2 linked regions of the Drosophila melanogaster genome follow. The gene in region 1 interacts genetically with each later gene. Each region holds a gene or a part of one and is shown in the gene's direction. Other genes may lie near its edges.

Evidence for each region. A genetic interaction does not mean that the proteins touch.
Region 2: of step (region 1) and S, changing one enhances a phenotype caused by changing the other (phenotypic enhancement), as found in Drosophila melanogaster (one study listed by BioGRID).

What each region holds. Positions count from the first base shown.
Region 1 is NT_033779.5:21,754,440-21,759,273, reverse strand, and holds the start of step (steppke), read left to right. Parts: upstream 1-1,807; 5' UTR 1,808-2,031; coding exon of another isoform or gene 2,032-2,110; intron 2,111-2,646; coding exon of another isoform or gene 2,647-2,720; intron 2,721-4,834. Other genes in the region: CG1416 (uncharacterized protein), read right to left, coding at 1-43, 196-832, 915-1,062.
Region 2 is NT_033779.5:1,074,779-1,079,416, reverse strand, and holds the start of S (star), read left to right. Parts: upstream 1-1,601; 5' UTR 1,602-2,582; intron 2,583-4,638. Other genes in the region: ast (asteroid), read right to left, coding at 1-296, 352-792, 849-1,382.

The sequences.
Region 1 (4,834 bases):
CTCTTCGAATTTTCCGAGCACATTGCCTCCGTAAAGAATAAATCTACAATAAAAGACAAAAGATTACTTACCATAAAGAAGTGAAGACAAGGGCGAGGGGCGAAATTTATGGTTATTCATAACAAGATTACTAAATGACGACACAAACGGTCCTGATGTGATGGTAAAATAAAACGACCAGGGACAAAAACTTACTCTCCACCGCGCACGGCATCTACTTTGGCAGGTGCCCTCGTAAAGGCAGTGACCATTTCTGGCTTTGTGAGAGCGTTGTAAAGGTCATTGGCGCTGCAGTGAAATTCTTCGGTCATCGAGAGAGTGCGAACGTCCAGTTTACAGCCGATGCCAGAGTTCTTCAGCCTAGGAGCCGCCACCGAGGAGTTTAAAGCGATATTTTGGGCTGCATTACGGGTATTGTTGGCATCCTTAAAATTCGCCACAGTATTTCCCGCTCCGGCCTCGTCGCCCTTCTTTGGTAGGATAAGGTTCTTGGAGTACTCCTCCTTCAACTCTCGGATGTAGGAAGCCAGTTGCTGCCGCACGCGGTCTCGTCCCACGTTGTACATGAACTGTTTCAGGGTCTCCGACTCGTCGTTGGACTCGTCGATTGTCACCGTGATCTCTACGTCGGCTAGTTCGTTCTCCTCGGAGAGATTGGGAATGGTTAACTTGCCCTTGTGGATCAGCTTGCTGTTCTTTAGGAGCTTTCCAGACCACTTGAGCACCAGCTCCCACTCGTAGAAAAATATGAGCTTGCCCTTGCGATTGTTCACGGTGGCCTCCCCGGAGCATTTGTCCACGGAGTCCACGGCACACTCAATGTCGCTTTGCCCTGCGTTTTGAGAAGTTTACTTTTAGGTTAGGATATACCTAAAATGTATGTTCTACACTACTACAAATTCTTATATACTCGCCTATTTTGAAATCCTGAAAAAGCTGATGCAGGCGGTCCTTGGACCATGGCGTGGCGTTCTTTTCCGTCCAGTGCCAGTTGTTCACGTTGGTGGCGTCGGGCCGCTCCTCCACAATCCAGCGCGGATCTCCTTCTCCCCACTTGGCCATCGCTTTCTTACTGTAGAATTGTATGAAACTGTCTTCAATTTTATGAAAAGATGGAAGATGTTGGTTTACTTTTGATCCGGCAGTCTTAGCTTAAACTAATTCGGACAATTACTATGGCCAGCGAGTGGAATTTTCTAGAATTCTGCGGTTCAAAATAGGGATGTAAAAATTATCGATGCCAGTGCACACATATGTTGGCAGCGTTGCCACCAAGTCCGAGGTGTTTGTGCCGTTAAAAAAACGAAATGATGTGTAAATTTCCTGACGATATTTTAAATGGAGTTATGACGAAAGACGTATTCGTTCAGTGAATTTTTTAACAGATTTAAAATGGACAGTAAGTATTGGTGGTATTGTATTTTTTTATAACAAGGTTGTTTTAATGTTATATTTTTATGTACGTCCAAAACTTTAAGTTTATGTTTTTAACTTGTAACAAACAATTTTCGAAATGGTAATAGCCGATTCCCGCAAATCACACCATAATGGATGTAACAAAGTTGTTTTACAGCTTTTCAAGCTATTTGTCTTGAAATAGATAAGGTCTGCTCTAATCTCTGAAAAAGTGTACCCCTAAAAATATTTAATGTATTGTTGCAAGTAAATAATTAGCCCTAATTTTTTTAGTTCTACTGATTAAAAAGTTCTTACGTTTGGTTACAAGATGCAGTGGCATCAGGATATTTTAAAAGTGGCCACACAGAGCTCGCGTAACACCCAGCTTAAGTCAGCATGCACTTGTTATTTTTCAGTTGTTTACTCAACCGATAGCTGAATTCAGCACATCCCTAGTGGAGAGCTGAAAGAAAATGGCGATAGAATTTTTTTGGTGTTGATTTGTTTATTATCCGTTCGTCTTTGATTGTTCAATGAAAAGCCTTAAAAATTAGCCAACTGCTGGTGAAAAATGTACAACTAGAGTGTGTGTCGTGTGCGCGAGAGTGTGTGTAGTAGCTCAGTAGCTCCGCGATGATTAGCGCAATGGACAATTTCGACAACAGATCGTACGGTGCCATATCAAAGGGGCGCAGTGAATTCTCAATGCCAGGTAAACAGCAGATACTTTTGCTGGCCCGAAGGATATAGCCTAGCATGAACAGAATACGAATCTTTGTATTGATAAAATTTTATTAAGATCACAAATTGGGATACCCACAACTACAAAATAAGAGAAGCAACAAGCAACATTTGTATGTATAGACTTGTGTGCTAGGTGAAATGTTAGTGCACATATGTATGTATATTATGTACATATGTACATTGCGTTCTCGTTTTTGGCCTTCGTCAGAATTAAGTCCGAAGAGCTTTGGTAACGCTAATAAGCCAATTTGCACAATTAGCAATCCATTGTGGTTTCGACAAGTGAAAATTGTTTATCGGCCTAAGCTAGTGACGTAGCCTACAAGATGCTTTCATCGCATCGCAAACAGCTCGTGTATGCACGTGTGTATGTGTGTTGGGCGCGTGTGCCTGGAATGCTGCTCTGGTGTTTTTTATTTTTACTGTTGGTGTTGCGATACAATTTACAAAATGCCCAGAAACAAGTATATGAATTTATTATTGATTCGCATCTCGTTCTTGCAGAACTTACACCGGAGCAGCAAAAACTGCTGATTGAGCTGCGACGCAAGAAGCAGGAACTTTTACTCGAAATACAGGTAATTGACCATCAATATATACATACATTTTTAATTTTGGAAACAACGATTTAAGAACATATTCGTATACACTTGTAGTATACAGAAAAACAATTTCGTGATGTCTTTTTGTCTGGAGTTTTTGCCAGCTTCTTTTTAGGTGATTTGACAGAGAGGGAGCAAAGACACTAGACTTATTCCAGAGCCTTTGTAGGGAGGGCTTGACGGGCTCTGAATTTTTTTATATGAACGATTAATCTTAAAATATATAAATTTTAATAAACCGATAATAAAAATGATGGTAAAATTATTGTTGGTGCTAAGAATTAATTTAGCAAATAATCGAAAGTAAATATCCCAAAAAAAAATACAATAAAAACATTAAGAAGAGAGATAGTGGGCAAGAGAGTCGATTTTTATGTTGTTGAGTAGCATATGTGCATTTATATGTATTTATAAAATTTTATGAATACCTATAAGCCAGACCAATTTGGTTTTTTTTTCTACTTAGGTTGTTTTTTAACTCCTTAATGCGGGAAGATTTGTGATCTGGCGGCTAGTGGCAAGTTTAGCTATTTATGTTCGTGTTGCGATCGTGACTAGTTTTCACTTTGTTAAGACTTCTTTATGTTCAACAACTTTTTTAAAAGAAATATATATTTTAGTGCTCATATCATATCATACCTGAATACAATGACCATGGTTTTAACCCGCACGATCTACGATTGAAATAAAGCATTTGAAAATGAGTTGTTAAACGCCATATAGGCTTTCTCTGGTGTCTTTCTATAAAAAAAATCCAAAAATACTTGCTAGGATTTTAATATTTTTTGTGGTTAAAATTACCACTCACCAGCCCCATTACAAGTGATAATTTTGGTAGTGTATTTAAAGTCTTGTCAAGACATAATGTTTCAATTACCAAATCTGAATTTGAACTGAATTATTCACTCGAATTCCGAATATACAAATAAAATAAAAAGAAAATGTTTGTTCAGTCGAAACAAACTGTCCCTCCGGAATTCCCTCAGAATATTCAAGTCATCGCTCCTGTGACGATCGGTTCACCAGAATAGTAAAACTGCTGTCTTCCAACAGCGAACTGGAGATTTTTTCGCGTGCTGTAATTGTGGTTCTTCGAGTCGTGATCTAAAGTGAACGAATTTTTATTTATTGGATTTTTAACAATTGCCGTTTTGTCATTGTGCTGATATGTGCAAATGCTTGTATCGTTAGATTGTGAGAAAACGCAAAGGTGAGTGTGCTAAAAAGTCAATTATAAATTTGTGTGTGGTACGATACTACCAATTTAATTATCAATTGTTAAAATAAACGTTTGCTGAAATTAATAAAAATATTAATATTTTGCTAGTACAAGTCCTAGTTAAAGGGCTTTTATTTATTGATAACTTTAATTTAAAAAATGTATCTACCTTAATAATGTTGAACTACTTTTAGTGTAAGGATCATGTGTTGTTATCGGTCAAAATTTTCGTATGCACATCTGCACCGAAATGGAAATCTCATATTTTTTCTGATTCCCCCGAATTTCCGTTGCTTTTTTTTCCTAACTATCGGGCTTTATTATGTCTACCTGGATATGCAATTGACACATCGTCCCCTACCTTTCACTCTTCTGTTCCCCGACTACCTGGAGTTATAATTTTTAGCTCAGCGCAAAATTACCTATTTTTTTATAGAATTTATAGAATGGATATTTAAAACCAGACAGAAGAATAATAAAAGTATTTAAACCCCTTAATCGTAGAGTAAAAGGACATACTAAAGCAAGTATATTGTACTACATATATGTAAAGTATATACAACTGTGCATGTTTCAATGATATGTATATAGACATATATTTTAAAGAATTTATGCCATTAAAACTGGTTTTATCCCATTTAAAATAATTGGTATATTTGTAATCAAAGGCTTTAAACTAATGGATTGCAATGATATGTTTGGTGTTTACACTTTGAATGCGTCGTTTGTGTGCACAGAAATTTCGAAAGAAAAATACGCAAATGTCTTCTTCACTGCGTTGCGGTCTTCTGACTGAAATCAACAAAAATCACAATTCTGTATATTTTTTTTATGTTTATTATTGTATTTACTATTATTTTTGTATACCATG
Region 2 (4,638 bases), about 21 Mb from region 1:
CCTTCATCCGCCTCCTCTTCTTCTTCATCACCCGAATCAACGTCTTGATTTTCTTCCTGCTGCTCCTCATCTTGGTTATCAGCTTCCTCCTGATCCTCGCCTTCTTCGACATCTGAAAATTTTTCATCGGAGCTAGACGAATGTTCATCGTCGCTGCATTCCTCTTCACTGACGGGTTCTATATAAGGAAAAGCATTCTCGTAGTGCTCATCGAAGTAATCGTAGGCGTGGCACAACTCGTTGGAGTAACCAGAGATGGCTGCATTCACTTGGGAGACCAGGGAATCACGCTGGTTCTGCAAGAATATTATTTTTAGCATAAATCGGAAAAAGATATCTCAAGCAACGAACCTTTTTCAGTCTCGACAGCACTTTAGCCAGAGCAGATTCCGCCGTTTCCTCCTTCAGCCATGTGAGGATGACCTGTATGCGCTTCTGCTGGAGCTTTAGTTTGCGACTTCGTCCTGCTTTGCCCATTCCCGCAGCAAAAAAGTTCTTGAAGGCACTGCGGGCAATATAGTCATTGCCCAGGAGGGCGGCAAAAAGGGGTAGCTTCTCGGGACTCAGAGTTCCTCGTCCGCAGAGATGGGACACCCGGTAGATGCAGCAGTCGAGGTACTTGTAGGTCTTGGAACTGCCTTTTGTACTGGCTGTCAGCCCTGTGGTTTGAATGCCAGTCACAATCTTGTTGGCCCTGGTGCGCTTCTTCACATTCTTGGCCTCGCAGTGACGTAGATCTCGACTGTCCTTCTGGTTGCTGCTGTTCTTGTCCTTCACCTGCTTGGTGAGAACCTGGGGTACATGGAATCGCTTAGTATATGCTGGAATCCAAATAACTTATGCCTTACCTTAACAGTCAGCGTGATCAGCGGGATGTACTTGACGTTGTGGATGTAGAAATCCGAGTCGTAGGAGAGCACTGGGCAGTTAAGTTTCCTGGCCAGAGCAGCCAACTCGTCGTCCGCCTCAAAGACGCACCTCATCACCGGGACTCCGCAGTCGCGCACAGCGTCCACGAAAACCTCCTTGAGGTGCAGCGGGAACAGCGTGATGGATGCATTGGGGTTTATCTTCTTGATCACGGAAATCTTGTTGCGCAGCCGGGTGCTAACGGTCCTCAGCTTGCGCTCCTCGTACCCGCCGTCCATGAGCACATAGGGCCGAATGTTGCACTCGGCCAGAACCTGGAAGAACTGCACCACGGCGCGGTAGAAGTCGTCGTAGTCGCCGCCGAAGGCGGAGTAGCTCCCGGTGACATCCTTGTACAGATTGCAGCTCAAGTTGTCGCCATCGATGACCAGCGCCGTGGAGTGCAGCTCGTGCGGCTTAAGGTAGATCTCCGCGCGCTGCGCTATGTAACTGGTCAGGCCGCGGACTCCCATTTTCCCGGCGCTTGCCTATTTTCCCAATTTTCTATTTACCTATTTTGCACAAACTTTAAAAGCGTGCTAATAGTGATGTCAGTTTGCAGTGCGATACTATCGATGTACATATCGATTCTTTAGCGTGGCCGTTCGCTGCCGTTTGGTATATATGAGCGATTAGTTTGGTATCTAGGGTATTTCCCGCAGCCGGATGGTATATTCCGGGGATGGCGCCGCGGTCACACTCTGTCCCGACAATTCCAACCCGACGCTTGTCTGCTCTCCACCCGCGCATCAAACGTCGAAAAATCGTAACGTCGCGAGTGCTACGCGGTGGCCAGGAGAAAAATTCGCCAGCAATAGCAACACTTGTACCGAAAATCTAAAGGAAACTGGGAAATGTACTAGCACAAACACAGCGAGTGCAGTGGAAACCGAAATCGCCATTGAATCGAAGAGCGCGTGCATATATACGGGTTCCGTTGGTTCCGTTCCGTTTCTTGTCGCTTTTCTTGCACACACTTTACCACTTTACCTTTGCGTCTCTCGTTTCGTGCGTGCGTGTGTGTGTGCGCGGAGTGTGGTGTGCGTGCGTGTGTGTTGTTTTTGTGTGTTCGTTTAACTAAAGCACAGGTAGAAGGAAAAGCAGCGGAAAAAAGAAAACCATGGGCGAAATATGCATATGAAATTAAGTAAATACAAGGCGACAGCAGCAGAAAACATCCAGTAGCAACGAGAAACAACAACAACAATAACACACGTTAATAACTCAGCTTTGTGCGTCTTTCGTCTGCGCTTCACATAGTATTATTTTTCTCTTGGATTTTCCACACAAAAACACCATGAGTGAGCGAGCGAGAGCGACGATCGTGATCACCGTGTCGTGAATGAATTTTTGTCAGTGTGTGCGAGGCGTGCTCTACGCACACACACACGTACGTAAACAACACAACCACACACGGCCCATCATCGATCACCAATCACCTGTGTGTGTGTGTGCGGCATTTAATAAATAATTGTGTGCAAATAAATGTTCCAAAAGGAAATTGTTAAGCCAAACCAGCAAAAAACGTAAATCAACCGTGCGATAATTCGTCCTAGAGTTGAAAAAAAAAGACGGTTCAAAAGCAAGTGCGTGTGTGCAGAGTTCTTCTGGTGTCTTGGGAGCTTCGTTTTACGGATACGAAACATATATAACTTCCCTCTTTGCCGAAAAAGGTGAGTTCAAAATCAGGGAAAAATCCCTTTCCCATTGGCCAAGGCCGTTCCGGGAAATCTGCGAGTGGTCTTGGCCCACGTTTCCTGTCTTCCGCACATTTTCACACGTCCTGCAATTGCAATTTTTTCCGATTTCCCAACTCTGCACCTCCTGTATGTTCGGCGATTCCCACGCCTCTTTTTTTCGGGGCAGGTATTCGCAGGTAGCGGAAAGAGGAAAAACCCTCGGGAAAGCCGATAAACTAGAGAAAACCTCTGTTGGTGGGCCGAAAAAACCAGAAAAAATAGAAGAATTGAAATGTTTTCCCTGGCTGCTGAAACAGAGAAAATCGGGCGAAATTAGGCACCCGCTGATTCCAGAAAATTGCTCGTATAATAGAAACATCTCACTGGGGGAGAAATAAATTATCGTTATTATCATCTGCAGTTGCAATTTGGCACAATTTCGATATGACTGTGCTCCCATTTGCCCGGCGATTATGTAATTTTCGCCGCTGTGCTCGAGAATCAGGTTCATTTTCCATATGAAAAAGGGGGCTTTGCTGCAGACATTGCATATATGCCGACGATCTGGCGACCACCGACAGTTGCCAGCAATTTCCGGCGCTTTTTGGCAACTGGAAATCGAGCACAAAAGTTCATCCCAGGGCTTAGAGAGCCGCAAAAGGCGTAGCCATCCATATTCACCCCATCCCAAACGCATTTCCCAATGTGGTTTATAGTTTTCCTACAGCTGTTGCGACTGCGATTTTAACGATTTTTACTGGTAATCCGGGGAGGAAGTGAAGTTCATAGCGGTTCGACCAGTTGATACCTCTTAATAAACTGTTTGTAGGGCATTTCTGAAAAGGAAATATTCCAAAGCGAGATTTGGTTAGTCTCAATCCTTAGAACAGCATTGCTCACTTCCTTACACAAGTGCATACTACCCTCGCATACCCTGTAATCAGTGGGCACCATAAAAAGAGTTTGAATTTCAAATAAAATCCACTCTCCGGCACACACACAAGTCCACTGGGGAGCAGCTGCTGTGTGTCTCTTTGTGCTTGGTCTCAAATGACACTTGCCAGCGCTGCTGCTGCATATAATTCCGAGTTCTGGGGAATTTCCTAGTAGGAAGTGCAGGGGCCACAGCGAAAACACCAGCAAGAGTCGCACTTGATGATTGTCTTGCCACGGCTATTGCCGTCCCACTCTGGAAACGTAAATAGAGAGGCCCGATAAAGAGCGGTCTCGAACTTCCCCCAGTTGTGTTGCCTCTAACCCAACTGAAACTGAGTGGAATCGAGGTTTTCTGGCGGCATAAAATTTGATAGCAATTAAGATATTTGTTAGAACTGTTTCTAATGTCACATGTGCTGCGTGTAGGAGTCTCATCCTGCACTATCTTGTTTTTCGCACTTGCCCCGTTCCCATTTCCCGGCTGGTACTCCAGTTACTTGCCGCAATTGACCAATTAAACAATTGTCTTTGATTAAATGTGCAAATTTGTCTAATGTTCTGCACTGCGCGTATGTGCAAAGCGGATGTGCCCGCTTAAAGCTGCGCTTAAATTGCCCGCGTAATTTGTCACTGATCTCACTTTCTCAATTGGCGATCTCTGATTTCTGAGATTCCTGATCTCTGCCTGGCCAATTAGGCGTCATTATGCGGCAGGCAAGAAGGCACCGTTAGATGGAGCCATTGCAACAGTGGCCAGAATAATAACAGCGACTAGGAAATAATGGCTAATGGCCTATACCTTTGCCCATCTAATGCTTCTTGACCTACAAGCCTCCACAGGCCTCTCGCGTTTCCTGCCCGCTTTCATTTACTGTTAATTATTGTTTAGAAAAGCGCGGGGGCGGGGGCCAATAATAATAAGAAGAAGAAAAAGCAGCAGCATTGGCCAATAAAAGCTTGCAAACAATTTCGAATTTCCAAATGGTTTGAAATGCAGCCCAGCTGGCAACAGAGGAAAAGAGGCAGCCAAATCAACCGAAAGGCAACACGGGGCCATAACAACAATCTTGCTCGCACATTCATAATAGGCGAAACAGAGGCGGCCAAAAAAGTA